3 linked regions of the Arabidopsis thaliana genome follow. The protein of the gene in region 3 purifies or fractionates together with the protein of the main gene of each other region. This does not show direct contact. Each region holds a gene or a part of one and is shown on either strand. Other genes may lie near its edges. The genes, in order: DRP3B, DRP3A and ARC5.

Region 1 (10,606 bases), on a different chromosome or scaffold from region 3:
ATCTTTTATGTGTGATCAATTAAACAGGTTTCGAAAATGGGAGTGACAAGCATCCTTGTTGGTGATGGGGTTACGCTTGGAGCATTTAGACAAGGGCTTACTGAATTTACTCAAAATCATAATAGTATCGAGAAGAATAAACAGGTTTGGCGTGACAAGTATTCTGGAAAGCCTACATCATCGGAGACAGACAAAGATTAACATTCATTTGTGAGAGTTATGATCCATTGGTGGACACAAAACATTCTCGAGTGTTGTATCACCATTTTTAACTACAAGTAATTTACTCGGATATGTTAAGATTTGTATTGAACAAGAAAGATTAATCTAGACTAAAAACATGCTCTTCTCGAGAAAATGCAGAAAACATTGGATTGACTTCTATTTTTTTTTTGTTAACAAACACACTTCAAATTGGTTTTTCTCTCTCTTCTCTCTCTCGCATATTTGAGAGAGAGAAACCGTTTGATGTTCTGCCGTCCGGTAGAAATCCGGTTTATTTTCGACATCCATCGGCTCTTTCATCGTTGGTTGGTTGGCTTTGTGTCTAGCATTGTCCGTATCTTTTGCGGTGATGACTAGCTTTCTTCCGGCATAGGTGGCTCCGATTAGCACCTTTGGCCAGCTCTATTTCTGGCATAGGTGGCTTCGATTAGCACCTATGACTGGCTCTGCTTCCGTATTCTCGGTTTCGAGATTGTCCGGCTCTATCTCCGATGATTCCACTTCTCTCCGATGGTGTTTGGTCCATATTTTTCTTCTTCCTTGTCTCTTTTGTTTCAATTTGCTTTGGTTTGCTTTGCTTTGAATTTTTTTTACCTCTTTCTTTTGATCTGAGATTGTTATTCATTAGCCTCTCTTGTATAAGGGACTGATTTCGATCTTTATGCTTACCGGATTTTATTTTTGAAGATCGACTTGCGGTACTGGTTTGATGTGTTTCTTTGTGCCTTTGGTTTGAGGATGAAGAAATTGGAACTGGCACTTTTCTTTTGCCAAGGTTAATTGGAGTGATGGACATTTTAGTTTTTAGGTTCTAACGGTGATGCCTCTAAGTTCATTTTTGAGATGTCTCGATGAAAGATTTTGTTGGAGAATCGAAGAGGAAGTTCTTCTTGGAGTCTTAAACCCTTGCATTAAGAACAAGATCAACTTACCAGTGATAAATTTATCATTACATTGTCTCATGTACGTTCTTGTTTTTCGTAACAAATAAAGCTATGAAAAGTAAAATTAGGAATTGATTATTCTTCTCGGTTTTGAGAAACAAATATTAAGTCACATTTTCCAGTAGGTTGATAATACCCTCACAACAAAACCTCTGTTTATCATCACGTTTCACTATACCTAAGAACACCTTTCTTTCCCCACGCACAACCGATTTAAAGGGAAGAAAACAAATCTTTTCCATCACCAAATGAATGAGTCATGCGTGCAATCACAATTTGAATTTACATATGAAGCCGTCCGTTCCCATTAGTTTCTGTCCTTGATCTTCTTGTGCCCGGTAACTCCTCATGTTTCGCTTCTGAACCAATTTTGTAACCTCTCTCGACCGATTCAGCTTCTAACGGCAGCTCGTCTAACGTCTGTTTTAAACCATATCAAAAAGACACATTTTAACAAGTTAAATTGCAATTTCTTCAAGATAAACCTTCAACTTACCCGATTAGCCTGCTGAAGAATGCGAAGAGTCTCTTGCGTGCGTTTCCTCTTTATCGCTAACTCATCGGGCTCTTTCAACAGTTCTTCAATTAAGTTCTCCCTGTCCCATCCACCAGATTTAGTTCATATAAAAAAAAAGACTATTCACAAAATCAAATGGGAAGCACATGGTTTCTTTCATCACCTGTAAAGCTTCTCGATGAAAACATTGTGCAGCTCACGTTTCGTGTAATTTACCTGTGTTTTATTCACAATTATATGGAATAGAGTTATTAGTCCCCTCACAAAGAATCGACCCACACTAAGTGTCATCAATGACCATAAGATGTTTGGCTAGACAATCAGAAGACTAGAAGAGTGGAACACTAACCAGAAAATGCATGATTGCTTTTGGGACCAAGTCCTCGACATTCTTCCTTACAATGTCATAGTAGGATTTCAATAATAGCTTTGTTATCTCAATCTCAACTGACTCCTGTTCTGAATGAGTTTCAGATGACTTCAAAATAGTTGGAGGCTTCAAAACAAAACATTATGAGATGAATAGGTAAGTAAAGTGACAGTATTGGGCAATATGAAAAGCCTGAGAAGGCACAAGATTCAAACCTCCTTTAAATAGATTGTTGACAAGTTCTGATACACTTCTTGAGTAGTTTCGCTGAATGGTTTGTTTAATAGGTTGTTTTTAGCAGCTGCCTGACCATCACTCCCCCGAAAAATTGATGAGAAACCACTCCAGCTTGTGCTTCCTGATTAATTCACAATCGGTCAAGAATACTACATTCATATTCTAAACAGAACATTGAATTAAGAGCAGACATGTATGCTTATATGTAAGTCGTATCTTAGACAAAGAATTTTATCATTTCAGTCCAAAATCATCTTAAAACCACACGTTCATTTATCTGTGCATACATGAAAGACTGAAAAATAAATGTGATAAGACCATTACCAGCTGGTGCAGGTCTTTCAGCATCTGCTGCAGTTGGAACTGCCTGTAAAAAATGTTAAGTAATTATATTATAAGAAGTCTCTAGCTGCATATCTGTACTCGCTTCATGGGCTTTCAGAAGCAGGGCCAACTACAAATATAGTAAGGAGATCAATGTAACAGAGTCAAATACATAACATAACGCATGACATGCCTGATCAGTGATGATTCCATTAGCTTGTCGGCCGAGAAAAGATCGGGTTTTTATTTGACTCCCGGAAGAAGCCGTCCTCTCAGGCTCCACAGTATCCTAGTTGTCATCAAAGGGAACATGTACGAAAAATTTCACAACTCGCAAAGAGAAACATAAAGCAAATATTAATTTCGCTGAGACTATTCCATACCCTTGGCCGCGCAACAGGATGCGGAATCCTAGAAGATTTGACTGTTTGCATTGCTTGCTCCACGGCTTTAGTTCCCCCGATAAAATTTGGGTGTGAGGTGTTTATATAATCCATCTGCAAATGGTAAACTTAAATATTTTAAACTAAATTTAAAAGAGGCACTAATCAATAAAATTGAGAGTAATCAATTTTCTTGAACTTAGAACATGGTCCTACTCCACCAGTGTGACAAAAAAAAAAATCAGTACGCAATCTAAGTAAATTTAATAATACTGGCCATTAGATTCATGATTGTGTGGATCTTAAATTATCCATACATACCTCCATTTCAATAAGATCTCGGATCATTGCCTGCGAAGGTTCAAGACCTTCTCGCAGAAAGTTCCCAATAACCTCATCCATGCGCTTTTGCAGGACTGGAAACCGCTGTAACTCTTTCATCATACACTGATGACTAATCTGTACATAATTTTTCAATTTAAAATTCATGGTCATGTAAATCAACAGTTAGCATCATAAAGAAACGCAAATAAAAATAACACCTTTACTAGCTCATCGAAGATGAACCTAGCGCACTGAAGGCTGGGATCTAATAAACGAGATATTTGCCTCCTGACAAGAACTTCAAATGGAACCTATGCAGATGAGAATGAAAGCAAGAGATACTAATCAGAGTTGCTGTAAAAGTAAAAAACTCAAGCAAAATAAGTATGTGGAAAGAACAGATAAGCAAAAAAATGCTCCCACATGCTTAGGGATATAGATAAACCTACATCTGGAACAAATAATGCAGATCTGGGACCAGTTGCATTTTGTATTGCAGTCCGAATATCATCAGCTGTTAAGTCTTCACATGGATCAACCTCCTTCAGAGCAAATTGAGAGAAACTAATGAGTTTAAAATCATTAAACCCCTATCAAGTAGCACTGACAACATCAGTAGGTAAAGATCTCTATACAACAGAGAATATTCAGATCGATTTTGAGTAATACAGATCAGATGCTTGAAAGATGGACGGATATGAACTAATATAAACACTGACTATATTTACAACTGAGCATAGTTCTACTCATACAAGAACTGCAAACATGCCACACTTCCAAGAACTGAAAACCTGAAACGAACTGTCTGCCTTCCGTGCAAATAGCCCCACTAACTAAACAAAGATATCTACACACAGTGATTACCTAACTAAGATATAGCCTAATGCTTAGCGAATCAAATAATATCTTATAAATAGAAAGTCATTCATACGAGTATAGGTTTTATATCAATAGCAACAAAATGAATCTCCTCCATTGAAGAACACATAGGTGTATAGGTTCTATATCAATAGCAACACAATGAACCTCCATTGAAGACCACAAATGATATCCCAAATTAAATTATGAAAGTATTACCTAACTAAGATATAACGTAATGCAAAACTTGGAAAAACAAAATAAAAGGCAGTTATAACTGAGTGAAGATCAAGGAAAATTATAAATGTAGCAAACCTCTAAGCTCTTAACAAATACTGATTGGAAAATGTAGAGAATTCTTGCTCCACCCGAGAGCTCAGATGTTGACATTTCTTTACTTTTCCCTTCCAGGGTAGAGGAGTATGCTGTTATAAATAATTAAGCCATGGTGAGGACCAATACCAACCTAAAAAGTATAAACTAACATCCATTGTCTAAACTGAAACAGAACCATCTTCAGATATTACCTTCGCAGTATTTTGTAATAAAACTGAGGAGAAGAGCTCCTTGACCACCCTATGAATTTCGAAACAGTTATAAACCAGAGTAAGCTGTAAGTTAAATAGTCACATGTTGTAGGCATATTTTATACGGAAATGAAAGAGCATATCTAGATATTTAGAAAAAATTTGTCAGAAATATTTCCCTACATATCTTGACATCTTCAAACACTAACTCTATAAATTACCGATAGTTTGTTTAACTGAAAGTAATCAGAAAAGGCTCCCAAGAATATCAAGAAGAGGATCACAAAAATGAATAAAATTATATTCAAATACGAAAACTGAGCAAGAAATCATACAACGCAAAAAAAGCAAATAGCAATGCCATCATTGAGAATGGATGGTATATATAAGGCTAAAACTGGCCAAAACCCACATACCCTAGACTCTGTTATATCCCCATAGCTCTCATACTCCTTTGCTGTAGCAAACAATGCATTGTTGATACGTGACTTTAAACTAGGAAGCAGTGCCTTGATGTGTTGAACAAGGACCTGCAAAGAAGGGAAAAAGAACTAGCTCCCATCAGACAGCTCATAATTTTAGTAATAATATTACCAGCTATGAAACTTATGAGATGCCATCTTTAGAAAAAGGACTACTCCATTCACAGAAAAAGAATCCACCATATGAATCAACAACAATAGTGAGAAGATGTCGCTGAGTTTTTCAAATATATACACACTAATGTCCTACAAAGATCCTAGCTCCTCCTGCTAAATGAAATAAGAAACATGAATGTTACATACAAAAGCCAATTTATTGTCTCAATTAGAGACACATCGGAAAATCCAGAAAGTGTATTCCTTATGACACTCGTGTCTTGACTGCATAACAAGATAATCATAACAAAGAAATTAGACGATCTCAAGACTGCAGATAATACCTGATTTAATTTCTTTGCCAGTTGAGGGACACCCAAACGATCTGTGAGACCGCTGTAAACCTGTTTATTAGAAAACAAACCAAAACAGAAGATATAAGCAGAAGAGTCAAGGAAACGCTATCAGAAAACAAATCGAGAGAATGATGCAGTCTTACTGGACGACTACGAAAGAACTTTTCCTCTGCAACAAGAGCATCCTTGATGCTACGGTTCATCAAAATATCCTGTTAAGGAATTAACACCCACATTAGTTATTGCCTTGCGTAGAGGGCAGTGGCCACATAGTAAGAGCAAACGAAAAATGAATATAGAGTAGAATGGTTTGGTAACACTAAAAAAAAGGTCTATATTACAGGTAGTATCCAAAGGGAAAAGAAGAGTCATAGAGATACAAATTGTGATAGCAAGAAATAAGACACACAAGCACAAAAGTAGAAGTGGTCACAGCTCATAATGGTAGGACAAGAACAATATACATCATAAGTAAACATGCGTAAATTTTTTGAAAAACAGGGTTTACCTCTTGACTACGATTTACAACTCCCACGTATCCAAGTCGAAGAGGAATTGTTTTTCCCAGAAGGTGATTCCGAGCATCAGTACCTCTGTCCATAATATCCAACTGAATCAGAGAGAAAATAGAGCAATCGTGAGAAATAGAGTAGTTTGCCATCACAGCTAAATCTAAAGCAAACTTATGAGGAGAGAAATAGCACCTTTGTGATTACACCTATGGTTCTATGACCTGAGAACAACAAATTCATATGCAAAACGAAATGTCACTATGTAGTATACCAATGAAACTGATAAATTCTCAATCGACTTGCTTCCAAAGACTCACCATCAGGATCAGCATTTCCTGCGATTTGTAATGCATCTGAATTTGCTAAATCAGTATTAGCAGGGCTAACAGCAAGTATCAAGCAACTAGGTTCCTTAATGTAAGTCAAGATCATCGTTCTTATACGCGCTTCGATATCACTTGGCTGATCACCAACAGGAACCTTAGTGATACCAGGAAGATCCACAAGACTAATATCCAAAACATTAGGTGAAAATATCTTCAAACCAATCGGAATATCTGATACACCTTTGTTCTCTCCTGATACTCTATTAGTCTCCGCCTACAAACAAATTGTCATATTCATACAATTAGACGATCATCATCAATAGATTCTATGACGAACTTAGAAGAAGAGAATGAATAAACAAACCTCAATCTCACGGCGAATCTCAGAGAAATCGTAGATACGTCTAACAGGATCGTGGTGAAGAAACTCGCCCCACTCTTCATCGGATCCACCATCAGAGCTAGGTTTCGTCTGAACAAGCTGGAGACGGAGAGGTCGGCGCGTGCAAATATCATTGCCACGAGGAAGAAAGTCACGGCCGACGAGAGCTTCTAGAACGCTGGATTTGCCACTGCTTTGACTTCCGACGACAGCTACTTGCGGAAGAGCGATCGTCGATTGACTTCCTAGCTGAGCGAATATGTCTTGGAGCTTGTTCACAATCGGAATCACGGAGGAGCCTAGTGGCGTTACGGCGGAGGCCGACGACGGAGGGAGATCGTCGACGGACATTGATTTGATTCGATCTAAAGATGGAAGTAATTTGAAAAAGGGGTTAGGGTTTTGAGTAGATTTGTTGCAAAGAGGTTAAAGAAGATCTTTCTCGATCACGCGCCGATTAAAGTAAATCAGAGTTAATAATATCTCTAAATATTTGTGTAATTTTCGGAGTTATTTCTTTTTGAGAAATTATGTAATTTTATGTTATTTTTTAAAGGATAATATATCATCTTATTTGAGATGTAGATTGCACTATTTTTTTAAGGGAGATGGGAGATTTGCAAAACTATCCTTATTCTAATAACCTTTTGTAAAAATGTCCTTTCCTGAAGGCCATTTTAAAAACTGCCCCTTTTAATATGGCAAATGACTGTCTTACCCTCTGAATGATTAGGTTTCACGTTCGTTTCACAAACTTCTTCGTTTTGGCACAAACTTCTTCGTTTTCCTCTCCGATTTCACTCAAAATCGCCGGCGAATTTTCTCTCCGATTTCACTCAAAATCGCCGACGAATTTCCTCTCCGATTTCACTCAAAATCGCCAACGAATTTCCTCTCCGATTTCACTCACAATCGCCGACGAATTTTCTCTCTGAGAAACCCCAAAATCGCCGACGAATTTCCTCTCCGATAAACATGTTCTTCGCTGAAGGATTCAGATCATTTCTCTACGACGCAAACAATCCCCAGAGATATCGATAGATCCGACGGTAACCGTTTTTATAATCGATTTTATAGTCGATTTTATAGTCGATTTTATAGTAGATCTGACGCTGTTTCATAACATGTTTTGCAGATGGATTCAGAGAGTGAAATCCTTGCATTGCCTGAACAAATCTACAGAGAAGGTGAGGAATCTATTACACTGGGAACCGTTCAACAATACTCGGATTGGAATTTAGTTAGTAAAGTAGAGGAAGCTTTAGGCGAGTATTTATTTCAGAAGATTAGAAGTTCGTTTCTTGGTCCTCTAGTTGAATTGGGACCAAAAATGAAGGCTAAGAAGGGAATCAGATTTTCTGGAAAAATCTTTCACTATCTCATGCAGCAGAGAGTGAAAACAAAAGGATCAACTCTTTGGTTTAGAGTTGATTCTCAACCTATCCGTTTCTCCTTGAGAGAGTTCTATCTCACAACAGGTAATAAAGTTTTACAATCGTTTTTAAAGCTTAATTAACTGTCGTAGAATGATTTACAAGGCATTTGCATAACTGTTTGCGTAGTTTACAATCGTTTTTAAAACATAAGTAAGTGTCATAGATAATTTACAAGGGATTTTAAAAGCTTTTAAAAGGGGTTTACTTCATTAACAATCGTTTAAGAAGCATAAGTTAGTAGCATATAATGATTTACAAGGGATTTTAAAAAGGGTATGCATGGTTTACAACCGTTTTTAGGCATAAGTAACTAGCATAGAATAATTTACAAGGGATTTTAAAAGCTTAAAGAAGTGTTAAACACGTTTACAAGGGATTTTAAAAGCATAAGTAAGTGTCTTAAAACGATTTACAAGGGATTTTAGAAGTGTTTGCATAGTTTACAATCGATTTTAAAACATAAGTAAGTGGCATAGAATATTTACAAGGGATTTTAAAACCTTTTCTAAGGGTTAAACATGATTAGCAATCGTTTTTTAAGCATAAGTAAGTTGAATAGAATGATTTACAAGGAATTTTAAAAGCTTTTAGAAGGGTTAAACATGATTTACAATCGTTTTTAAAGCATAAGTAAGTGTCATATAATGATTTACAAGGGATTTTAAAAGTGTCTGCATGGTTTACAATCGTTTTTAAAGCATAAGTAAGTGGCATTGAATGATTTATAAGGGATTTTAAAAGCTTTTAAAAGCTTTTAAAAGTGTTAAACATGATTTACAATCGTTTTTAAAGTATTTACTATAAAACCTGTAATAATAGTCTCTACACTGTCTTTTGTTCATACAGGAATTCAATGTGAACCTGTTCATAGGGAACTTCGACGAAAGGGAAAAGATCCTGTAAAAGAACCATACTTTTGGGCTAGTAAAGGATCCTATACTCTTGGTGATCTCGAAGATCGATTGTTTTTAAAACCTAAGGAAGGTGAACCTGCTGTTGAAGATGAAGAAAAGTTGTGTCTTGCTGCAGTAGTGTTGACTGAAGGAATTCTTTTGACACCATATGGAAAAGAGAAGATACCTTTGCCAAGATTGCAGCATGCTTCTGATTTTGAGATGTACACAGCCCAACCGTGGGGTAAAGAAGCATTCAGTGTTCTATCAAATTCAATTCTGAGAATGGACGAGAAAACTTGGGCAAAAGAGAAATATGATTTGAGAGGATTTGGACTAGCGCTAACAATATGGGTGTTGAGCGCAGTTCCAGCATTTGGTGCAGCATATGGAGTTAAAGATAAAGAATTCCAATCTGAATATCCATTGATATTGAAGTGGAAAAGCACTACTACTCCAGAGTTTTTCAAGATCGTAAACCTTGTAAATGATGTTTCTGAGGTAAGCTTTTGTCTATTTACAGAATTCTTTAAATGGTTTTTAGATTTGAAGTTCTGCTTTCTCAAGATTTGTAATGTTATTGTATCTTCGCAGATGGAGGTGAATACAATTATTGGAAACCCAGAAGAATTCAAGTCTTTAGTTCCTGATTTCCACACAGACGACATAGAATTCCAACATATTTTGGGACTTGTTAATATGGGCTACAGATTGAAGAAAACTGAATGGAATACAAGATGCGTTGATGTTTGTGCTGCCCTTGAAGAAGTAGGTCAAAACAAAATCAATAACAAAATATCTGATAGCGAGAAGCTTGACAGGATTTTGACAATCCTTGAAGATCTTAACAAGAGAGTCGAGATGATTGAGAGGATTTTGGACATTAGAATGGAGGAAAAGAATAATCAGAGATCTGAGGAAGATGAAGAAAGAAAACAAGAAGATGAAGGAGTAGAAAGACAACCAGAGGTAATTGTAAATGTTCTTTAAAAGCTATTTGAAAGGAAATGTTTTACAATGTATTTTAAAGGTTAAATACGTAGTAAACCTTTACAATGTACTCTTTTTTTTCGCAGGCTGAAGAAGAAGGAGGACTAGAAAGAAAAGCAGAGGTAATTGAAAATCTTTACAAGCTATTTTAAAGGTCTACTAATTATATTAATGATTGACTTATTGTTTTTATTTTGTTGCAGAATGACAACGAATCATTTGAAGATTCAATCCGAGAGCCAAACACACAGAATGGGAGCTATCCGGGTGATGATGAAAACACCCAACGTGATGTTGGTGATGAAGTAGCTGAAGAATCATCAAAAGTACAGTAATTTATATCTCTAAAAGTCTTACAAAAATGATTAGTATCCTTTTTATAATTTTACATTCTGTTATCTTTTCAAGGATAAGTCTCATACTC
Region 2 (10,581 bases), on a different chromosome or scaffold from region 3:
AATCTTGGCGAATGACAAAACTTTGGAAAGAAGAGAAGAATAAGGAACTCCAAAACCACCGATGCTTCCTCTCCTCTCTCGAATCTTCTACCGAAGCAGATTCCTATACTTTTGTCAACACTTTTTAAGTGTTTTGCGTTTCCAATGTACTTTGAAGATTATTCTCAAAACTCCATAAAATTCTTACTGAAACAGAGAATTTTTTTTTTTAATTTTAATCTAAGAATTATCTTGAAGCTGTGTTCTTTGGCAAATATAAATACACGTCGACTAGGACAACACTTGCGCTCTAAAGATTGCAAATCCGTGTTCTATCTCTCTCAACAATTATTTCCCCTGCTTCCAAAGCTTTGACAACATTTCTATTCAAAAACTTTAGTTTTGAGTTTTTTTTTTCTTGTATACTTCTCCCCAAAATATGAGCGATCCCAAGTATGCATATCCTTACCCGGCACCGGGAAATTACCCGCAAGGTCCGCCACCGCCGGTGGGAGTACCGCCACAGTATTATCCTCCACCACCGCCACCGCCTCCTCCTCCACCACCACCACGAAAAGTTGGTTTTCTTGAAGGACTGTAAGTGCTCTGTTTTTATGTTTCATAATATTAGTTTGTTTCTATTATTAAGGAGTGATCTGTTGGAATTTATAAATGAACTTCAATGTTTGTCGGTGGTAATGTGTGTTTTTGGTTTGCAGATTAGCAGCTCTGTGTTGTTGCTGCTTGGTGGATGAATGTTGCTGTGACCCGACCATTATATGCTTTGATTAAGTTTTCAGGAAAAAGTATGTCTGTTAATTTCATTATGCTTATGAGGTTTATACAATAATTGTTGTGATATCATGTGACTACTACTTTCTTTTCTTGTCGCTTTAATTAGGTTTTAGTCTTGCCTTTTATATATGTATCACAAATTTCTGCAGCTCATCAAGTAATAAGAGAATTTATTCTGATTTCTGATTAGTAGTTATAGATTATGCTGAAAATGAAAATGCGTGTGATAGAAATGTTGGATACAGATACGTGGCAGTAGGTAGATATGCATTTTATCCGAATACGGAAAAAATGGAGAATGACGTGTCCACTTCTTAACCGAAGAGTAAACATTATCGTGTCTTGGCTCTTAGCCAGTGATAGGGACTAGACAACAAATCGGATTTTGGTCCGCATCTATACAGAAAGTACTGAGGTGGGTTTGGAATTTGTGAATACCGCTGTCCATAACTAACTCTTAACCATATCGTCAATTTCCAGCATAATCTGTGACTCGTATAGGGGAATGTTCCACGTCTCGTTGCTCAAAAAACGAAGAAACTACACAATTTATAAGGTCGTGTGGACCGATCATGTAATATAACTTATTGATTAAACATTCCCCAAAAAAAAATTTAGAGTGAAAGGTGTTTGCTTCCCGTTATTGTTGCAGGGGGAGCATTTGAAACAAATTGGAAAAAAAAACTATATCACCTTTCACTCCCTTATCAAGTCAACCAATGCAGAGTCCAAAAGGACCAAAACCCACACTGTGTACTGGTTTCCTATATAAATTCTTCATATGACCAACACATAATTTAATACCAAAACCTGAAAGAGCCATTAAATGAATGAAATGCGTTATCACAGTCGAGAGATATTCGAGATATTTGGATCATGTTAGAATCCGTATCCATTTTGGTGTTGATCTCCTGCTCTTCTCGATCTTCTTGTCGTACTTGGAGATGCCGAGTATGAGCTGCTTGTCGAATACTTTGAAGATGTCAGTAACTCCTGATGTTTTGACATTCCTGCTGACACCGAATCTGCTTCCAGTGGCAACTCATCTAGTGTCTGTTTCACCCACAAAGACCACATGGTTACATGAATATCAAACATAAATTCTTCATAGAAACAGTTTTAAGTGAAAAGAAGACTTTATTGTTCAACGGAACAAGGTTTATGACGATTGATGTACAGAGTTAGGTTTTGCTGAGAACATACCCTGTAAGCTTGCTGAAGAACGTGGAGAGTCTCTTGTGTGCGTTTCCTCTTAACTGCTATCTCATCTGGCTCTTGCAACATTTCTTCAAACAAGTTCTCCCTGCACCAGATGAAACTACTAGTCAGTTTTAAGAGACTACTAATCCAAACACAGATGTGAGGAATTAAAAAACACAGGCATCACCTGTAAAGCTTCTTGATGAAGACGTTATGCAGCTCACGTTTTGTGTGGTTTACCTGAAGCATTAAAAAGAAAAGAAATGGTATCAGCATCTTCATTCTTCAGAGTTTATTTACTGTAAGATAGCAACAAGATTATTACACACAAGATGGACAAACGGCTTTTCATTTTAACTCTCTCAAAAGACAATTTCAAAGGGCAATCAAATATCAAGGTGATGATATATCGTACAAGTTTGAGATACTGCAAGAAACTTGGGGAAAGGGATGAGGGTACTTGCCAGGAAATGCATGATTGCTTTTGGTACCGAGTCCTCAATATTCTTCCTTACAATGTCATAGTATGATCTTAGTAACAGCTTTGTTATCTGAATCTCAACTGCTTCCTGTTCTGAATGGGTTTCGGTTGGCCTCAAGACAGCTGGGGGCTTCAGAAAAGCAAAGCAAACAGTATGAGTCAAATAGGTAAGCATGTATTGGCAATATGAATCATCTAAGATGGCACAGGAGACACACCTCCTTTAGATAGATCATGGATAAGTTGTGAGACATATCCTCAACAGCTTCACTGAATGGTTTGTTTAATAAGCTATCTTTAGTAACTGCTCTAGTATCACCCCCTCGGAAAATTGAAGGGATACCCCACCTTGTATCACTCGCATTTGCTATCATGTGTCAGCAAAACCACAATTAAAATCTACTCAGGATTATAAGCTATTAGCGAATCGAGACAAGATACATGTTTACGCAGTCTCTGAAACATAGCAAGAGATTCATCACACAGCCAAAAATCTTCCAAAACACGAAATGGAAGGCTAAAAATGACAGCGGTGAGAAAATTACCAGCAGGTTGAGCTTTTTCAGCATCTGCAGATACAACTCCCTATGAACAATCATGAGTTAAGTGTCAAATAGTCACTCTTTATCTTGAAAATGTCTAATTTGCTCATGGGTCCTTAGGGCTAAACCCATAGTGCACAATGATATACAGAATTAATTATATATAACATGTAAAATGACAATACCTGATCAGTAACAATTCCATTAGCTTGCCTGCCGAGAAACGATCTAGATTTCACTTGACTCGTGGAAGAAGATGTTCTATCAGGCTCCACAGTGTCCTGCTATATCAACTTAAATGTATAAGAAACACTGCAGAGTATATATGAAACCAAAACCAATTTTAATGTATTTGCTCAGAGTACTTCATACCTTTGGTCGTGCCACAGGATGGGGAATCCTCGAAGACTTCACTTGATGCATTGCAGCTTCCACGGCCTTGGTTCCACCAATAAAATTTGGATGTGAAGTGTTTATGTAATCCATCTGCAAACGACATTCAAGAAATTATGATACCATCACTAATACTTTAGTTCAAAGAAACTAATCAATCAAAAACGAGGAAATCACTGCTCAAGATTAAAAAAGGTCCCTAATCAACCAACATATTAGTCTGGGCTCTTTATACACAATAGAGAAACTCAACTCAACGTAGGATTTTCAATTCATTATACAGACCTCCATATCAATGATATCCCCGATCATTGCTTCTGAGGGTTCAAGACCTTCTCGCAGGAAATCCCCGATAACCTCATCCATGCGCTTTCGTAGGACTGGAAATCGTTGTAACTCATTCATCATACATCTATGGCTAATCTGTAGAGAAATTCAAATTTATGAAGTAATCTTATTACTTATTAACAACAAACCAAAAAAACACTCACCTTTATTAGCTCTTCAAAAATGAACCGGGCACACTGAAGGCTAGGATCTAACAAACGAGATATCTGCCTCCTAACAAGAACTTCAAATGGAACCTATGCATAATTGAACGAGATCAAGGGACTCTAATTAGATATCCTGGGAAGTGGAAAAGGCAAGGAAACATATGAATGCTTGAAAGCCCTGACAACCAGGATAACTTCCATATATGCTGAAACATGTTAAGAAACCTACATCTGGAACAAATAATGCAGATCTTGGACCAGTTGCATTCTGAATTGCAGTCCGAATATCATCATCTGTCAAGTCCTCGCATGGATCAACCTCCTGAAGAGGCAATGTGAAGGAATTCAATCAGTCTAAATTTACAGAGATCCACGAGCTCAACGTCAGAAATATACTACATTATTTCCATTTGGATAATGTCACTAGCTAAACTAAGATAAGATAGAGGAGCCAATGCTTAACAAAGCAGTGTAAAAGTTCTCTATCAATGTCAATGAAATGAACCGTAAACATCAGTGTACCATCCGAAAGTACGCAAAAGTATTGGCGAGGTTAAGAAACGGGAATGTATAACAACTGTTCAAGCTCAAGGAAAAAAGTTTAACGATTGCCCAAACGAACCTCCAAACTCTTAACAAAGATTGACTGGAAAATATAGTGAATTCTTGCTCCTCCAGAGAGCTCTGACGTAGACATTTCTTCACTTTTCCCTTCCAGCAATGAAGAGTATGCTGTTCAAAAAAATTTACCCATGAGACTCACTATGAACCATAGAAAACATAAAACAAATGTCAATGGTCTCAACTGAAATATCGTCTTCACATATTACCTTCACAGTATTTGGAGAGAAAGTTGAGGAGAAGAGCTCCTTGCCCAGCCTAAGAATTTCAAGGACAGTAAAGACCAATAGAATAAGATAAGTTTGACTAGTTAAAAATTGAAAAAGAAAAACAACTCATAGAGATGAAGCAAAAAAAAGTTAAAAAAGAAGTACCCATTGGCCAACAACCTTTCCCTACAAATAAGAACACCTTTAAATGCTAATTCTACGACTTAAAGATATTTTTTTTGTAGTCTAAAAACAAAAAGGCTTTACGAACCCTGAGCACATACATGAGAAAATAGTCTGGACGAGCAAAATTGTATTCAAATGAAAAGACTGAGCAAATCACACCATTAAATGGAACAAATGGCAATGTACCAAAGCCAATAACAAAACAATGAATTCGATAAATAGATGGCAAATTGAGCAGTAAAATACATACCCTTGATTCTGTTAATTCACCATAGCTCTGATGCTCTTTTGCTGTAGCAACCAAAGCATTACTTATCCGCGACTTCAAATCCGGAAGCAAGACCTTGATATGTTGAACAAGGATCTAAAAAAATGCAACAGAAAGGCCATCTTCTATCAGACATTTTCTAATATTAAAGTATCTTAAAGTCTGTAAACAAAAAAAGATATACATGCAAGGCCAAAAAAATAAGCTAGGGTAGAATCCGCACAGCCATGTAAGTAACCTTAAAAAGTGAATAATGCATTTAAACTCCACCATAATCCCATATTAGATATTTCAACATAGAGAAAGCGTCTCCCTTATGCCTTACTGAACAATGATTGACATAACGAAAAAAGGAACTCCCAATTCCCATAACTGCAGAAAATACCTGATTTAACTTCTTTGCTAGCTGAGGAACACCCAAACGATCGGCAAGACCATGGTAAACCTGTATAGGTACCAAAAAGACTCAGCTTTAATCAGAAAAAATAGCAAGAGTATCAGAAAGTGAATCAACAAAATGATGTTAGCATACCGGGTGACTCCGGAAGAACTTCTCCTCTGCGAGAAGTGCTTCCTTGACTGTGCGGTTTAGCAAAATATCCTGTTTATAAAATATAAAGATCAAAACACTGTAGATGCAGACGCCACAAAAAGTAGACAAAAAATAAAAATTCTGTCACAATAGCATCGAAGTGATAAAATTAGAATTAAAAAACAAGCACAGCCAAAGGTAGAATAATAAAAAAAAAAAAAAAAAAGAAGAGACAGCCTACTATATGATAGCAAGAGAATCATAAGAAAAATAAGTACAGAACAGAAGCAATAAAGCTCAAGTCACATAAAAGAAGAGCCACACTAAATAAATTAAAAAGCAATAGTTGTGAGCAACCACAGGTTTACCTCCTGGCAACGATTTACAACTCCCACGTATCCAAGTCGAAGAGGAACAACATTTCCAAGAAGGAGTTTTCGAGCATCAGTACCTTTGTCCATAATATCCAACTGAAAACATGATAATAACATATAGTAAATCACATGAAAGACAGGGACGCCTATGGTGATGAAATAAAACAAATGTCTGGACTGGGAATATGCACCTTTGTGATTACACCTATCGTTCTGTGACCTGGAGACAGTATAGATAGATGAAAGGGTGAAGATGAGTAATGTCAAATACAACCCATTAAACTAGTCATTGGACTTGTGAGTAGAACTTACCATCAGGATCTACAATGCTAGCAATTTGAAGGGCATCAGAGTTTGCTAGATCGGTATTAGCAGGGGTAACAGCCAATATCAAGCAAGTATCTTGCTTGATGTAAGACAAGATCATCGTTCTTATACGTGCTTCAATGTCGGATGGCTGGTCACCAACTGGCACCTTGGTAATACCAGGCAGATCCACAAGCGTGATGTTCAATACATTAGGTGAAGAAATTTTAAGACGAATCTGTGTATCTGCTACACCTTTGTTCTCTCCAACTAATCTATTCGTCTCAGCCTACAAAGATGTTGCATTTCATACATTAATACAAACTTGGAAGAGCAATAGAGTATCAAATAAAGCAAGGAAGGGAATAAAAAACCTCAATTTCTCGACGAATCTCAGAGAAATCATAGAAACGAGTTTCAGGAAGGTGACGAAACTCCCCCCACTCATCATCGGATCCGCCATTAGCGCGGCTTTTAGTCTGGAGGAGCTGGAGAACAAGAGGACGACGCGTGCAGATATCATTACCACGAGGGAGAAAGTCACGGCCGACGAGTGCTTCAAGGACGCTAGACTTGCCACTGCTTTGGCTTCCAACAACAACAACCTGAGGAAGCGCGATCGTAGACTGGCTTCCGAGCTGAGCGAATATGTCTTGTAGCTTGTTTACAATCGGAATCACAGAGGATCCCAACGGCGCGGCGTTGGTGGTGGAGGAAGACGGAGAAGGCGTAGAAGAAGAAGGAGGCGTAGACGGAGGAGTCTCACCGGAAACTTCTTCAATAGTCATCGTTGGATCGGATTTTGAATGAATCAAAGTTGCTAGGGTTTTGAAAAAATTAAGTTCGTGGAGAAGAGAAGACAACACTGGGAAGAAGAGAAGGTCAATTACTCGGGATTTTCGTGCTTAGCTCTATCTCTATCGAAGAGAGGAGGATCTTTTTATTAGAGTCGCTAAATAATTTTTACTTGCTCAAGAATTTTAAAAACGTGAAGAAGAAATTGAACTTTAATCACAACTTAACAAAATAATTCAAATTAATTTTATATTCACTTAACCTTTGTTAATTTATAATGATAACAACTAAATAATTTCACCTTAATCTCCATGGTCCAAAAGAAGCGAATAAACATTTTCATTTACCTAATTACATTAGTTTTTAATTTATAAAAACTTTTTTTCTTTCTAATATTAGCCTGTGCTTTTATTAATCAAATAAGTTTAGAAAAAATCTATAGATACAGTTTTAGTGAGGAACTGAAGTTCTGTTCTGTCTTTAAATATTCGTTGTTAACTTAAACGCAATCTTTTGCTATTTCATCAGTAATTTTTTGTATGGATAAACTAAAAGAAAAAAAAAATAGAGAAAAATCGAATGTTAAAATCGTGGTAAACCGGCTGATGTCGTATCATTTATTAAGGTCTCAAACCGGAGGTGTGTGTTAATTTTCAATGTTGAAGAAAAATCGGTACGATAAGGTTTTCAAACCGGTTAAGTGTGCGCATTTTGGTCTTTTCAACCGGATTAGGAGGGACAAGAATGAGTCCATCGAGCTGTCTTCGTCAGAAACAGAAAGAGTCTCTTCTTCAATCCAATCTTTTTACAACATTAGGCTGTTGAGACCTGAAATCTCTAAGGAAGAAGAAAGAATGAACGTAGACGAAGAGATTCAGAAACTGGAAGAAGAGATCCATCGTCTTGGTTCTCGTCAGACCGATGGCTCTTACAAGGTCTCTCTCTTTCTCCTCAAATCTTGTTGGATCTCCCTATATCTGGAATAAATCTGTATTATTTCATTTTCAATCAACAAATACTCTTATCTGAAGAATCAAGATCGTAACATTTACTCTTTTCTCTCGCTCAGATCTAACAAACACAGTTGATTGATTCTTGATCATGAGGATTGATTTGTTCCTTTTGAATACAGGTGACGTTTGGAGTGTTGTTCAATGACGATCGATGTGCCAACATCTTTGAAGCATTGGTTGGGACTCTGAGAGCTGCCAAGAAACGCAAAATAGTCGCATTTGAAGGTGAACTTTTGCTTCAAGGCGTTCACGATAAGGTTGAGATCACTCTCCGACCAACACCACCGCCACCGCAAGCTGCTGCTGCTACTGCAGCCTCCTCCTAAGTTCCCATTTCTGCTTTTAATCTTTATACTATTGAGTGTAATGAAATGATAAACTTGAAGATCAATGATTCCTTTGCTTCTCTATTGTCATGATCACATTGCTTGAGCTATATTTTTAAGTTGTTGCATGTAGTAACAAAGTCACTATTAACAAGAAAGATTTCTTCTCTTTTTCTGCCATATAAACTGAAAATACACAAAGGAAATACAACAACAGCTCTTACCACGTTTCTACCCAATATAGCAGCAATCTCAGAGAAACATACATTAATTTACATATATATATATATATATATATATATATATCTATAAACTTGTCAAGCTTTACAATCTAAGTTTCCTTTCTGATCAAAGACTCTCTGGCGTGTTAAATCTTCCCCCAATTTAGGTACCTTTATCCAAGCTCCAGAAGAAAAAGCGAGACCGTGGATCTCTATACTGGTCCAGAAAGACCTGAACTTGAAGTAATCTTATCTTAGGCACAACCGATCTCATGAATCTGCATATAATTAAACCATTTCAGTTATACCTTTCTCAGTACCGACTTCATATCTACTGTGTATCTAGGAGTATACGTACACAATGGTTACAGCCAGAAGAAAACCCTTCCTCGATTGTAGAGCAGAATACAACTAGGCTTGAAGCCTCAGGCGGTTGAAGAACATCACAAAGTGATATTCAGGTGCCCAATAGACGAATCCAACTACAGGTCCTCCTTTTACATACTGCATTAAAACCATAATTCAACAATCACACAAAACATGTCATTTATTTGAGTTTGAATCCATGGACAAGTTTGTTTTAGTATATTGAGAGACGAAGAGAGGAACCTTGCCATCGAGGATAACAAGCTCGCCATCTACCCATCTCGGATTACGAAATCCAGGATCAGCAAGCCTACCTTGTCCTTTATATCTGGCAATCTGCATTTTGTAAGAATAACTCTACTATGAAGCGACACAAACAACAACTCTAAACGAAAACCGAGCTTAATGATAAACTTGAATTAGTGTTGTAAGGTAAGCACACCACTCCAAATTCTTCGGGGATGAGTCCTTTATGTGGGAGCTCATAACGTCTACCAATCTTTGCCCGAAATGCAACCTGTCATGGATAAGACTGTGGTAAGGCACTCATCATGATATTGCAACAAAAGAGTATTAGGGAAGAAGAAAGATATCGAAAATAAGCGAGTGTGCATTTATAGATCCAAGTGACTATTGCATGATAATACTCCTTTCCTGTGTAGGCAGAAAAGTAACAGCGTTTTTTTTAACTAGATTGGTAACACAGTCGTTTGAGTACGCAAATTTTTGACACTGACCATGAAAACAACAAGTTTTCATATTTGTCTTAATACCTCATACTAGAACAAACATAAAGCTAACCTTCCCAGCAGGCACATACGGATCTCCAGTTAATTTCACAGCTTCAACATATTCATAAAATTCGATATCTGTTGGCTTCTTAGACTCCTTTCCACCTTTCCACTGGCCAAATTTGCGTTTTAAATGGATTACTTCTGATGTATATAGCCCATGTGCGCCAATATAAAGTCCTGGATAGATAAGTACAAAGATAATTAAAATCCAATTCATACTGTGAGAAAATTTGTATTTCAGGTAAGGGTTACAAAATTTAAAGTATTCTATCGAGACGACTCACTTGTCATACCCAACAAATTAACTTCTAACAGCTGAGAAATCAATACTGATAAATTTACAATAGCTTAGGAGCCATCAATGTCAATTTCTATGTTCTTTCGAGAGAAACAAAACAACCTCCACATTCAATCAATTACTCACTCACCGTCTAGGGGATCTAGTGATGGTGTCACATCAATGCGACGAAATTTTGTCAAACCCGACAGCTGTTGACGGTTTTGAGCCTGGCTGAGAGTGAGGCTTAATAGCTCCCCAACATCCTTAAGCATCTGCAACGTGAATTTCTAGATTAAGCTGCGACTCCTTTTCTGCAGTAAAACAAGAAGAAAATAAACACAGCAAAACAAACCTTGACAGAAATCTTCTTCTCTTTCTCAATTGATTTGGCCAAATCACCCATAAT
Region 3 (10,598 bases):
ATTTTTTGACCTTTTTTGTTTGTGAACAGACGATGATACTCCCAAACTTTGGCCGTCTTGCGAAACTGGTATGATAGCTAAACTTAAAAGTAACGTTAATTGATAGTCTTAGTACTTATCTATTGTGGTAATTTTTTAAAACTTTTGGTCTCGTATGCACACCAACTCAATTTATTCAACATCTTGAACATGCATATAGTCCTGACTTTGTATCAGTCGCATTTTGATACTTTTGGTAAAACTAGCTTCATATGTGCAAGACTCTGAATGTGGATTTGCATACTTTGCTTCACTTTCTTGACATTATAGTACATCCATTTATTGGTCTGCATTTGATAAATTCCAGCCACTACACTCCAAAATATTTATCATAGATGCTGTTGTGTCTTACAGCCCCTTCCGTTGAAGCGTCTCACTGAGGGACTCACGGGAAGGAAAACATCAGAGGATAATGAGATATACAAGCTCTTCACTAATGTTATGAACCTAGTCCCTCCTAAGGTATGCCTATTGACTTTAATAACTTCCGTTCATGGTTTTGGATAACCGATGAGAATTGCATTGATGTGTTTTTTCATATTTATGTGACATTGCATATAGACTTAGACTGGTTTCGAATCTAATAATGTCTATTGAGAAAATATTTCTGCTAATTCCTCTTACGTTACCGACATTAGGAGAAAGTAGGAAAGCTATTTGAAAACTTCTGACTTTGAAATATGAGAAAATATATGCAAACTTCCTTCAGAGTCTCCTTTTGGAAAATGTTAAATTCATCTGCAATCAATATCTGGGATGCAAATGCCTACATAGCTCATGCTGCTATCGTCTTCTTGAAAATTATTTGTTCAGCACTTCTTGCTTATCAATGTTGTACCTGTATTCTTCTTTTCTAATTTTGTGCAGGAAGAAGAGAACCTCATAGTATTCAACAAACAACTTGGAGAAGATAGAAGAATTGTGATGTCACGGAGCAATTTAAATGAGCTACTTAAGGTACATAGACATAGACTGAATTCCGTTAGAGAAATGGAGTCAATTTGCGATGTTATCATAACCATTGTAACACTTTGAGAACTTTTAACCCAGGCGCTTGAGGAAAACGAGTTATTGTGCACTGACTTGTACCAAGTGAACACCGATGGCGTGATATTGACAAAGCAAAGTGTGTAACTCCTATGAAATACCTGGTTTATTATGTATGTTATTACTCGTTATGTCTTAGCATTGTTAAGTATGTTAAAGTTGCTGATTGAGGATATCAAGCATGCCTTAACTGTATGTTATGTATCTCATTTGTTGCTAGTATTACATGAAATAGGATGCAGTTCCATGTGATTGACCTTGATATCGGTCATCTCCTATATGATTAATCATTTAATTTTAGTTCTTGCTTTCTGTGATGAAACCCCAATTACTTATATTGTGACCAAGAGAGCTCAGAAACTTGTTTATTTTGTTTCTGCAGGAGCGGAGAAAGTTATCGGTTGGGCCAGAAACCACTATTTATCTTCTTGTCCTAGCCCATCGATTAAAGAGGGCCGCCTGATTCTCCCCCGTGAAAGGTAATGGCATGGTTGTTGATTGATCTTTGGGGTCTATGATTTATCTTTGATTTTCTTATATCTTACTATTGTCTTCCTCTTTTGAAGCATTGAGATTTCAGTTAAAAGGTTAAAGGCACAAGAAGATATTTCTCGAAAGCCCACACAAAACTTGAAGGTTTAGTTTCTTCCCCCCTCTGGTAGTCTGGCAATTGGCTGCTGAAAACTCTGAGTAATAATTATGTTAAAAAGAGATTTTTGTTTTTGCAGAATATTGCGAAGGATGAGTTTGAAACCAATTTTGTCTCAGCCGTGGTTGCTCCTGGAGAAATTGGGGTAAAGTTTGACGACATTGGTGCTCTTGAACATGTGAAAAAGACACTAAATGAGTTAGTTATTCTTCCCATGAGAAGGCCAGAGCTTTTCACCCGTGGAAATCTCTTGCGGGTATTACATTCTGTTATATACATGTCATTATGTTCTTGACTATGGACTTGGAATTTTCTCGTCTGGGTTTTCTTGAATGCGTGTGTCTTTGTTTTTTCCAGCCATGTAAAGGCATATTGCTTTTTGGTCCTCCGGGTACGGGTAAAACGCTGCTTGCCAAGGCGCTTGCAACAGAAGCTGGGGCAAACTTCATTAGCATAACTGGCTCAACGCTTACCTCAAAGGTACATGGAACCTTAAAACTATGTTGTTTGCACTGTCACGTTGATATTCCACTTTGTAAACATCTTCATATAAATAAGGAGAATATCTAATGACATAAGAAAAACTTTTCCACCCCGGTCATCGACTTATTATTGTCAATGCCGATTGTAACTTAGAGTAAATCTCTTTCCAACTTTACCTCTGATTGGTTCTGATTTAAGTCAATTTCGTCCATTGTTTGGCACAGTGGTTTGGAGATGCAGAGAAGCTCACGAAGGCTTTGTTCTCTTTTGCAAGCAAACTAGCCCCCGTCATTATATTTGTTGATGAGGTGAGAAATTGTTTAGCTTTATATCACTTTTCAATTTCGGTTATTGCTTTTTATGAGGAATACTTTTGTGATGCGTAAAATGTGTTACTCAAGGACTAACTGTAATTTATTTTGTTGTCGTATAGGTTGACAGTTTGTTGGGTGCTCGTGGTGGTGCTTTTGAGCACGAGGCAACACGAAGAATGAGAAATGAGTTTATGGCAGCTTGGGATGGACTCAGATCAAAAGATAGCCAAAGGATTCTCATTCTCGGTGCCACCAACCGACCTTTTGATCTTGATGACGCTGTCATTCGTAGGCTACCAAGACGGTAATTTAAGCTTTCAAGTAATTTCTCCTTTGGAATATTTGTATCTTTTCGATAATTGTATTGAGGCTTGTGTTTATAGGATATATGTGGATTTACCAGATGCGGAAAACCGGTTGAAGATATTGAAGATATTTCTGACACCAGAAAATCTTGAAACTGGTTTCGAGTTTGATAAACTTGCAAAGGAAACCGAAGGATATTCAGGAAGCGATCTAAAGGTTTGGTCATTCGGGGTTTCATTTACAAGTTCGAGTATGATTCAACACAGTAGTTCTGATTCCTTTTCTTTTCTTACATTGCAGAATCTATGCATAGCAGCTGCATACAGACCTGTTCAAGAATTGTTACAAGAAGAAAACAAGGTAAGGACATGCATAAACCCACACAGTTGATTTCTGTTGTTACGAAAAATAATTTTTGTACTCACTCCATGCTTTTGAAACGTCGAATTATCAGGACTCGGTAACAAATGCGTCCCCTGATCTACGACCACTGAGTTTGGACGACTTCATTCAATCCAAAGCTAAGGTATTGATCAATCTCTTAAAAAACATCATCATCATCTCTATTCATGTTTTTTCCCCTGGTGTTTGCATTATCGAAATTGCGTCATTGTAATGTAATTTGCAGGTAAGTCCGTCAGTGGCATACGACGCGACGACAATGAACGAATTGAGAAAATGGAACGAGCAATACGGTGAAGGAGGGACCCGAACTAAGTCTCCTTTCGGCTTCTAAGCCACAGTTTTGTTACATTCATCAATGTCTCTCTTTAACAATAGAACTCGTTGATTTGTTCCATGTCGTAACAATAAAAGTCACTATTTCAATTTTAATCATAGTTACACAAGAGAGACCTTTAAGAAATGAAAAAATAGTAAATTAACAAGTCGTCATTTGCTCAAAATATTTCTGGTTTCTCATCCAATAATCACAATTCTGTACTACATAGTTATCACAAATCCTTTGAGATAATATTTCTGCATATACTATTGGTCAAGACAAAGCAAATCCTTTGTATTTGCCGACCAAAAAAAAAAAATCCTTAAACTCTCTCCTTACGCGCTCTTTTATTTAAATTTAGCGGAGAACTATTACAACGTTGACTCAACGCGCCATGGATGCGCGTGAGATTAAAACACAAAAAATATTTCTTTTGACAAAAATTGAAATTAGCCGTATCTGCTAATTCCATGGCGGAAAAAGGAACGGCGACGAAAACTAAAGAGTAGAAGAAATAAGAGACACTCTCTTACTCTTACTCTTCCTCTTGCTCATTTTCGTAAGAGACGATGGCGGAAGTATCAGCAAAATCGGTGACGGTTGAGGAAATGGCGGAAGAGGACGACGCTGCGATTGAGGAGCGGTGGAGTCTTTACGAAGCTTACAACGAGTTACACGCTTTGGCGCAGGAATTGGAGACGCCGTTCGAAGCACCGGCGGTTCTTGTGGTGGGACAGCAGACCGACGGTAAAAGTGCGCTTGTGGAAGCTCTTATGGGGTTTCAATTTAACCATGTCGGCGGCGGAACCAAGACTCGTCGGCCGATTACTCTCCATATGAAGTACGATCCTCAGTGTCAATTCCCGCTTTGTCATCTCGGATCTGATGATGATCCTTCCGTTTCTCTTCCCAAATCTCTCTCACAAATTCAGGTGTTTTGTTATTATTATTACTTGTGCTTCTTCAATTGCTTGTTTCTGCGTATAAATTCTGGGAAGATTTTGACGAATGTTGAGAAACACAAGTACTTAGGTTTATTGTAGAGAAGCGAAATGCTCATGTTAACGAAATTTGTTATATGATTTGGAGTTAGGCATATATTGAGGCTGAGAACATGAGGCTGGAGCAAGAGCCATGTAGCCCATTCTCTGCAAAGGAGATTATTGTGAAAGTCCAGTATAAGTATTGTCCAAACCTTACCATCATTGATACACCTGGACTTATTGCTCCTGCACCAGGACTGAAAAACCGAGCTCTTCAGGTTGTTTTTTCTTATGGCTTCCAGCCAATTCCGTGGCTGATTTCATGTTTTGGTTTTGCTTTATTTGAGAGTGGGTTACTTGTTCTTTTTCTTAGGTTCAAGCACGGGCTGTGGAAGCTCTAGTCCGAGCAAAGATGCAACACAAAGAGTTCATCATTTTATGCCTCGAAGATAGCAGTGACTGGAGCATTGCAACCACTCGAAGGATAGTGATGCAAGTACGTTGCTTGACGTAACTCCATTGCGTCTAACCTTGTCTTTATTTTTGTTAAAGTTTGTTTCTCGTTCATGTAGGTTGATCCTGAGCTTTCTAGGACAATTGTTGTTTCTACAAAGCTTGACACTAAAATCCCTCAATTCTCATGTTCATCTGACGTGGAAGTCTTTCTCTCACCTCCTGCAAGCGCACTTGACAGCTCCTTATTGGGCGATTCTCCTTTTTTCACGTCTGTGCCTTCTGGAAGAGTTGGCTATGGACAGGATTCAGTGTATAAGTCTAATGACGAGTTCAAACAGGTCTCTGCTCTGCTGTCTGATTCCTTAAACAAGTTAAACAGGTCTTTTTCTAAACTATGTGTGGTTTTTATTACAGGCTGTGTCACTTAGAGAAATGGAAGACATTGCATCTTTAGAGAAGAAGTTGGGCCGTTTACTGACAAAACAGGAAAAGAGTAGGATTGGCATCAGTAAACTGAGGTTGTTTCTGGAAGAACTACTCTGGAAAAGGTATAACTGTTGTTTTAACTCTGATTTTTCCAGCCTCTGTTTCTATTGTAGTTTACTTTTCGCTGTAGTCTTGATGCCCTTCTCTTTCCAGGTACAAAGAGAGTGTTCCATTGATCATTCCACTGTTAGGAAAGGAGTACCGCAGTACAGTCAGAAAGCTGGATACCGTGAGCAAGGAACTTAGGTCGCAATTTGTTTTGTCTGAAAATGTCTACTTGATTTTAGGCAGTTTAATTGTTAGCTACTGATTTATAGAAAATATAACTCATTGGAGGTTGAATAATTCCTTTCAATGCAGCTCTTTGGATGAAGCAAAACTCAAAGAGAGAGGCAGGACTTTCCATGATCTCTTCTTAACCAAGGTAACTGTAGAGAGCATTTCGTTTTTTTAGATTTCTATTTACACCTTCCCATACCTTTTCATTTTTGCCTGGACTCGTGGATTAATAGTTTTTGTATAATTACAACAAGTTCATTTGTGTAAACTTCTCTTTTTTTTTGGTTTATTAACTACTGACACATAAAAACAAATTTGTTTATTGATTACTGACACATATAAAATTATGCTACAGTAAATGATATCTAGGACTTGCTACAAATTCAGAATGGCTGTAAACTTTTTGTGTTGGATGCCCTTAAGACTTTAAAATTGCTGCGTCATATTTTCTGATTGACGTACGAAGTACCTTTGTTAGTATTGATCAGTGCTGTGTTTTCTCACCTGTTTTGTTTATATTTTTCTTGATCAGTTATCGCTGTTATTGAAGGGAACAGTTGTGGCCCCTCCAGATAAATTTGGTAATGTTACTGCTCTGTTCTCTGCTAGTCAACTTCTTTGGCATAAACTTTTCTTGTTTCTGGGTGTTGTTAAATTGGACTTTTGCAAAATCAGTTTAGTTAAATGCATATTGTTCAATTCGACTGGGTCACCAGACTGCGATGATTACACATGGAATGATGTATGCTAATCAATCAATCATTGGTCATGATACTTTGGTTACTGGCAGAAGCACATTTTATAACAGCATTCTCTTTATGTTGGGTTCTTTGATTGTTAATAATTTCTCATGGTGTTTTTCAGGTGAGACACTGCAAGATGAAAGGACACAAGGAGGAGCATTTGTTGGTACTGATGGTCTCCAGTTTTCACATAAGCTAATACCGGTAAGTCTTTCCCTGAAGCAGAATATTGTTGGACTTTATAGAGCAAGCTGGGCATGGTCTTCAAATCCAGTTGTCTTGTTCTTGTACATGGATTATAATATGATGGAAGATAAATTTGACCGCATGAAACATATGTGCCAAAGAATAATGTATTGGAAACAAATAAAAGAGATACTTCGTTGGACCTTCAAGAATTATGAGAGACCATAACCAGATTATCTTTCATTTTACAGAATGCAGGGATGCGTCTCTATGGGGGTGCACAATATCACCGTGCCATGGCTGAGTTTCGTTTTCTAGTTGGTGCTATCAAATGTCCCCCAATAACGAGGGAGGAAATTGTAAATGCATGTGGAGTTGAGGATATTCATGATGGAACAAACTATTCCAGGTATCATAGGATTGACTGACATGCAACACACTTCTCAATTTATTGTCTTTGCATCCCAGACCCCTTTCAGTATCTAATCTGAGCTGCAACGTTTGTCATGTTTTCTATGGCCTCTTATTCTCTTTCTCTTATTTGCTGTTGTAGAACAGCTTGTGTTATAGCAGTTGCGAAGGCTCGTGAGACGTTTGAACCTTTCCTTCATCAGGTGACATAGATATAGCTACTTTTTTCTTTTTCTTTCGTGGAGGATGGAAAGCAATTTTACTAATTAGTTAAGGTGTACTGTACGTAAAAAAAAAAATGAAATATAACGTTATATATTGAAATCATACTACCATTCAGTTTTGAGATTTGCTGGAACTTATTTGTGCATAAGAGTTATCGAGTAAACATGTTCTGCTTACAGAAACTATGTTTGGGAATACTTTCATCTGAAATTTTGTTATTCACATGTTTCTCTTTCCATACAGAAAGTTTTTTCCAGTTCTCATTTTCGTTTGTTTTGCGTTGATATAGTTAGGGGCGAGGCTTCTACACATTCTCAAGAGATTGCTTCCAATTTCTGTATATCTTCTTCAGGTAGGTACTGTTTTCTTTGGTTTGACGGTATCATACTCATGATCCCTTTCCAGCAAATTTTTTGATGTATGTTCTAAATTTGAATAGAAAGAAGGTGAATATTTAAGTGGGCATGAGGTGTTTCTCAAGCGGGTTGCTTCAGCATTCAACAGTTTTGTGGAGTCCACAGAAAAATCATGTCGTGACAAGTAATTCTATTTCCAATTCCTGTTCTTACCATGTCGGTGCCTCCTACCTGTGTTCTAGTGAGCTTTAGTGATTGATCACCCTTTGGATTTTATATTGTTTGCAGATGTATGGAGGATTTAGCAAGTACAACTCGCTATGTTACATGGTCTCTTCACAACAAGGTCATTGCTACAGCCCTATAGCTCTGTTTCAATCCAATTGAGTTGTGTACATACCATCAAGTATCCGTTTCTGATTGAGTAGTTTTCGTTTCTCAATGTTATGTAGAACCGAGCTGGTCTACGTCAATTCTTGGACTCATTTGGTGGAACAGAGCATAATACGACATCAGGTAATGCCATAGGATTTAGTCTTCCCCAAGATGCATTAGGTGGCACAACAGACACCAAGTCAAGATCAGATGTAAAGCTAAGCCATCTCGCCTCAAACATCGATTCAGGTTCCAGTATTCAGACAACAGAAATGCGGTTGGCTGATCTTCTAGATAGCACACTTTGGAACCGCAAGCTTGCTCCTTCCTCTGAGAGAATTGTGTACGCATTGGTCCAACAGATATTCCAGGGCATACGAGAGTACTTTCTCGCCTCTGCTGAGTTAAAGGTTTGCTCCTACTTCAGTTTTTACTCAGATTCTTCTTGCTTTTAAAATGACTTTTCTTTTAAAAAGTTTGTATCTGTGTTTTCTTTTGTTCTGCAGTTCAACTGTTTTCTTCTAATGCCCATCGTTGATAAGTTACCTGCTCTTCTCCGGGAAGAGTTGGAAAACGCATTTGAAGACGACCTCGATAGTATCTTCGACATCACGAATCTCCGGCAATCACTTGATCAAAAGAAACGGAGCACAGAGATCGAGCTCAGAAGGGTAAACCAAACTGACTTCTATGATCAATGTCTCTTTTTTCTATTTGCCATTGGAAGTATGCAGGAGAACTAACATTATGTTATGTGTCATGTTTTGGACAGATAAAGAGGATAAAAGAGAAATTCAGAGTGATGAATGAGAAGCTAAACTCTCATGAATTTGCTCAAAATCTAAAGGCTCCTTCGGTGCAGCATTGAGTGACTCAAGTTCAATATTGCTTAATTATATTAGGTTAAGAAACAATCGAAGAGTGAGGGAACATCTTATGTGTACTTTGTATGTCCAAAAACATACTAAAGAACGTTGTCGTTTCAAGTGATTAAGGTTTCGCTTTTTGGTCCAATGTTTGCAAATTTCAGTTTTGTAGAAACGACAGTCGTATCATTTATTTCTAAATAAATTATAATCAGTAAATCTAAAAGGAAAAAAAAATGTCGAATAAAAAATACCATCTAGAAAATTATTTTAAAAACTATATGGATGTGAAAAAGAAAAAAAAAATGTAACATGTGGATAGAGGATAGCTATTCTTGGAACTTAGAAATATGCTATTTGAATCGAAAGTATTTATTTAGTTAAATGGTTCTTTGATTATATTTCTATGTTCTTTTATTAGATTATTTACAGCTTGAAGTTTTTTTTATGTTTTTAATTTTTATCCATCACTAATACACATATGACCTACCCTCCTACCCATTAACCTCCACCTAACTACGAGCGCATTCACATTTTAAACACTCTCTTTCTTTCAACCATTTCCTCAAAAATATAATAAAGAAGTAAAAAATAAGCTTAACGTTTTCTCCACGTGACAAGAACCAAATGTTTCTCCACGTGATGATTATCTCGTGATCTAACTAGAGTTTCCGATTAATCTTAATAGTAAATTAACCGACCAATTTTTAGTCATATAACTTGAATATTAAGAAGGAAACTACAACTTATTTTTGAATAAACGTAAAACTGATCACTGAGTAAAAAAAAAATCATTTTCTTTTTACTTCTACCAAGTTATTTTTGATTAATAAATACGTACGTACACTATAATCGTAATATAAAAAAAATAAAAATAAATAAATAGATGATATATACCTACTAAAGACTAAAGAGTTAAGATACGTTGAAGTACTACAAGCTAATTTCTTTTTTAAGAAATAGAACAAAGAGATATTATTTATTTTCGTTTAAGTTTATTATTATAATAAAAAACAATTTGTTGTAAAAATAGAAAAAAAAAAAAAAAAAAAATTGTTGTAAACGTATATATAAAGAGAAGTATTCCAAAGCTTTATAGACAACTCAAGTTTCTTGCAATTACCTACTTACAACAAAGCAACTCGACTCGAACAAACACATCCATGGCTCCTTCTGCGCAACCTCTTCCTGTGAGGTAAAATATTTCTGTATCGTCGAACAAATTATATTGTTTAAATCTGATAGTATGAAATATGATTTGGCGATCTTTTTTTTGTTTTTTTTTATTTATCAAAATTTACAGTGTTTCGGATGAAAAATATGCGAATGTCAAGTGGGAAGAGTTGGCATTCAAGTTTGTTCGTACGGATTATATGTATGTTGCGAAGTGCAATCATGGAGAGAGTTTTCAAGAGGGGAAGATTCTTCCTTTTGCTGATTTGCAACTTAACCCTTGCGCTGCTGTTCTTCAGTATGGCCAGGTTTGTTATATATGACTTAAAAGAATGAATATAAATCTAGATCGTTATTAGATGAAACAGAAAAAACTATTAACACATGAATATATAGCTTTCTCACTGATAATAAAATGATTGAGCTAATTATCATAAATATAATTACATAGTATACTATTGAGTTAGCAACTATATTGTATGCATATTTGAGCTATAAAC

The links.
Region 1: the proteins of ARC5 (region 3) and DRP3B purify together in Arabidopsis thaliana (affinity purification with western blotting, with the first as the bait; one study listed by BioGRID). This does not show direct contact.
Region 2: the proteins of ARC5 (region 3) and DRP3A purify together in Arabidopsis thaliana (affinity purification with western blotting, with the first as the bait; one study listed by BioGRID). This does not show direct contact.

Annotation. Positions count from the first base shown.
Region 1 is NC_003071.7:5,952,802-5,963,407, forward strand, and holds DRP3B (dynamin related protein), read right to left. Parts: upstream 7,308-10,606; 5' UTR 7,215-7,307; coding exon 6,846-7,214; intron 6,756-6,845; coding exon 6,473-6,755; intron 6,377-6,472; coding exon 6,348-6,376; intron 6,254-6,347; coding exon 6,152-6,253; intron 5,856-6,151; coding exon 5,787-5,855; intron 5,692-5,786; coding exon 5,632-5,691; intron 5,240-5,631; coding exon 5,126-5,239; intron 4,759-5,125; coding exon 4,710-4,758; intron 4,608-4,709; coding exon 4,498-4,607; intron 4,189-4,497; coding exon 4,099-4,188; intron 3,867-4,098; coding exon of another isoform or gene 3,864-3,866; coding exon 3,774-3,863; intron 3,636-3,773; coding exon 3,543-3,635; intron 3,460-3,542; coding exon 3,322-3,459; intron 3,115-3,321; coding exon 3,001-3,114; intron 2,907-3,000; coding exon 2,811-2,906; coding exon of another isoform or gene 2,807-2,810; intron 2,661-2,806; coding exon 2,618-2,660; intron 2,415-2,617; coding exon 2,272-2,414; intron 2,183-2,271; coding exon 2,036-2,182; intron 1,903-2,035; and 8 more. Other genes in the region: AT2G14110 (Haloacid dehalogenase-like hydrolase (HAD) superfamily protein), read left to right, coding at 28-201. UniProt on the Arabidopsis thaliana protein: Involved in the control of mitochondrial and peroxisomal division and morphology.
Region 2 is NC_003075.7:16,157,660-16,168,240, reverse strand, and holds DRP3A (dynamin-related protein 3A), read right to left. Parts: upstream 7,418-10,581; 5' UTR 7,169-7,417; coding exon 6,755-7,168; intron 6,670-6,754; coding exon 6,387-6,669; intron 6,295-6,386; coding exon 6,266-6,294; intron 6,171-6,265; coding exon 6,069-6,170; intron 5,770-6,068; coding exon 5,701-5,769; intron 5,614-5,700; coding exon 5,554-5,613; intron 5,265-5,553; coding exon 5,151-5,264; intron 4,764-5,150; coding exon 4,715-4,763; intron 4,617-4,714; coding exon 4,507-4,616; intron 4,207-4,506; coding exon 4,114-4,206; intron 3,975-4,113; coding exon 3,882-3,974; intron 3,814-3,881; coding exon 3,676-3,813; intron 3,484-3,675; coding exon 3,370-3,483; intron 3,282-3,369; coding exon 3,183-3,281; intron 3,041-3,182; coding exon 3,001-3,040; intron 2,823-3,000; coding exon 2,674-2,822; intron 2,586-2,673; coding exon 2,439-2,585; intron 2,215-2,438; coding exon 2,162-2,214; intron 2,078-2,161; coding exon 1,978-2,077; intron 1,828-1,977; and 3 more. Other genes in the region: AT4G33660 (cysteine-rich TM module stress tolerance protein), read left to right, coding at 419-576, 699-771; AT4G33640 (costars family protein), read left to right, coding at 7,832-8,110, 8,308-8,514; EX1 (UvrB/UvrC domain protein (DUF3506)), read right to left, coding at 9,147-9,239, 9,345-9,437, 9,544-9,618, 9,903-10,072, 10,324-10,447, 10,528-10,581. UniProt on the Arabidopsis thaliana protein: Involved in the control of mitochondrial and peroxisomal division and morphology. In association with PEX11C, PEX11D, PEX11E and FIS1B, is involved in cell cycle-associated constitutive self-replication of preexisting peroxisomes.
Region 3 is NC_003074.8:6,848,920-6,859,517, reverse strand, and holds ARC5 (P-loop containing nucleoside triphosphate hydrolases superfamily protein), read left to right. Parts: upstream 1-3,927; 5' UTR 3,928-4,128; coding exon 4,129-4,491; intron 4,492-4,652; coding exon 4,653-4,820; intron 4,821-4,915; coding exon 4,916-5,038; intron 5,039-5,114; coding exon 5,115-5,336; intron 5,337-5,412; coding exon 5,413-5,546; intron 5,547-5,637; coding exon 5,638-5,730; coding exon of another isoform or gene 5,731-5,745; intron 5,746-5,844; coding exon 5,845-5,908; intron 5,909-6,295; coding exon 6,296-6,344; coding exon of another isoform or gene 6,345-6,437; intron 6,438-6,627; coding exon 6,628-6,710; intron 6,711-6,943; coding exon 6,944-7,101; intron 7,102-7,245; coding exon 7,246-7,306; intron 7,307-7,617; coding exon 7,618-7,680; intron 7,681-7,767; coding exon 7,768-7,868; intron 7,869-7,972; coding exon 7,973-8,030; intron 8,031-8,136; coding exon 8,137-8,469; intron 8,470-8,565; coding exon 8,566-8,730; intron 8,731-8,831; coding exon 8,832-8,927; 3' UTR 8,928-9,160; downstream 9,161-10,598. Other genes in the region: AT3G19740 (P-loop containing nucleoside triphosphate hydrolases superfamily protein), read left to right, coding at 30-68, 394-501, 907-996, 1,090-1,165, 1,469-1,565, 1,653-1,722, 1,815-1,991, 2,093-2,215 and 6 more; BCAT4 (branched-chain aminotransferase4), read left to right, coding at 10,089-10,120, 10,229-10,406. UniProt on the Arabidopsis thaliana protein: Mechanochemical GTPase component of both plastid and peroxisome division machinery. Required for the last steps of plastid division specifically in mesophyll-cell, when the narrow isthmus breaks, facilitating the separation of the daughter plastids.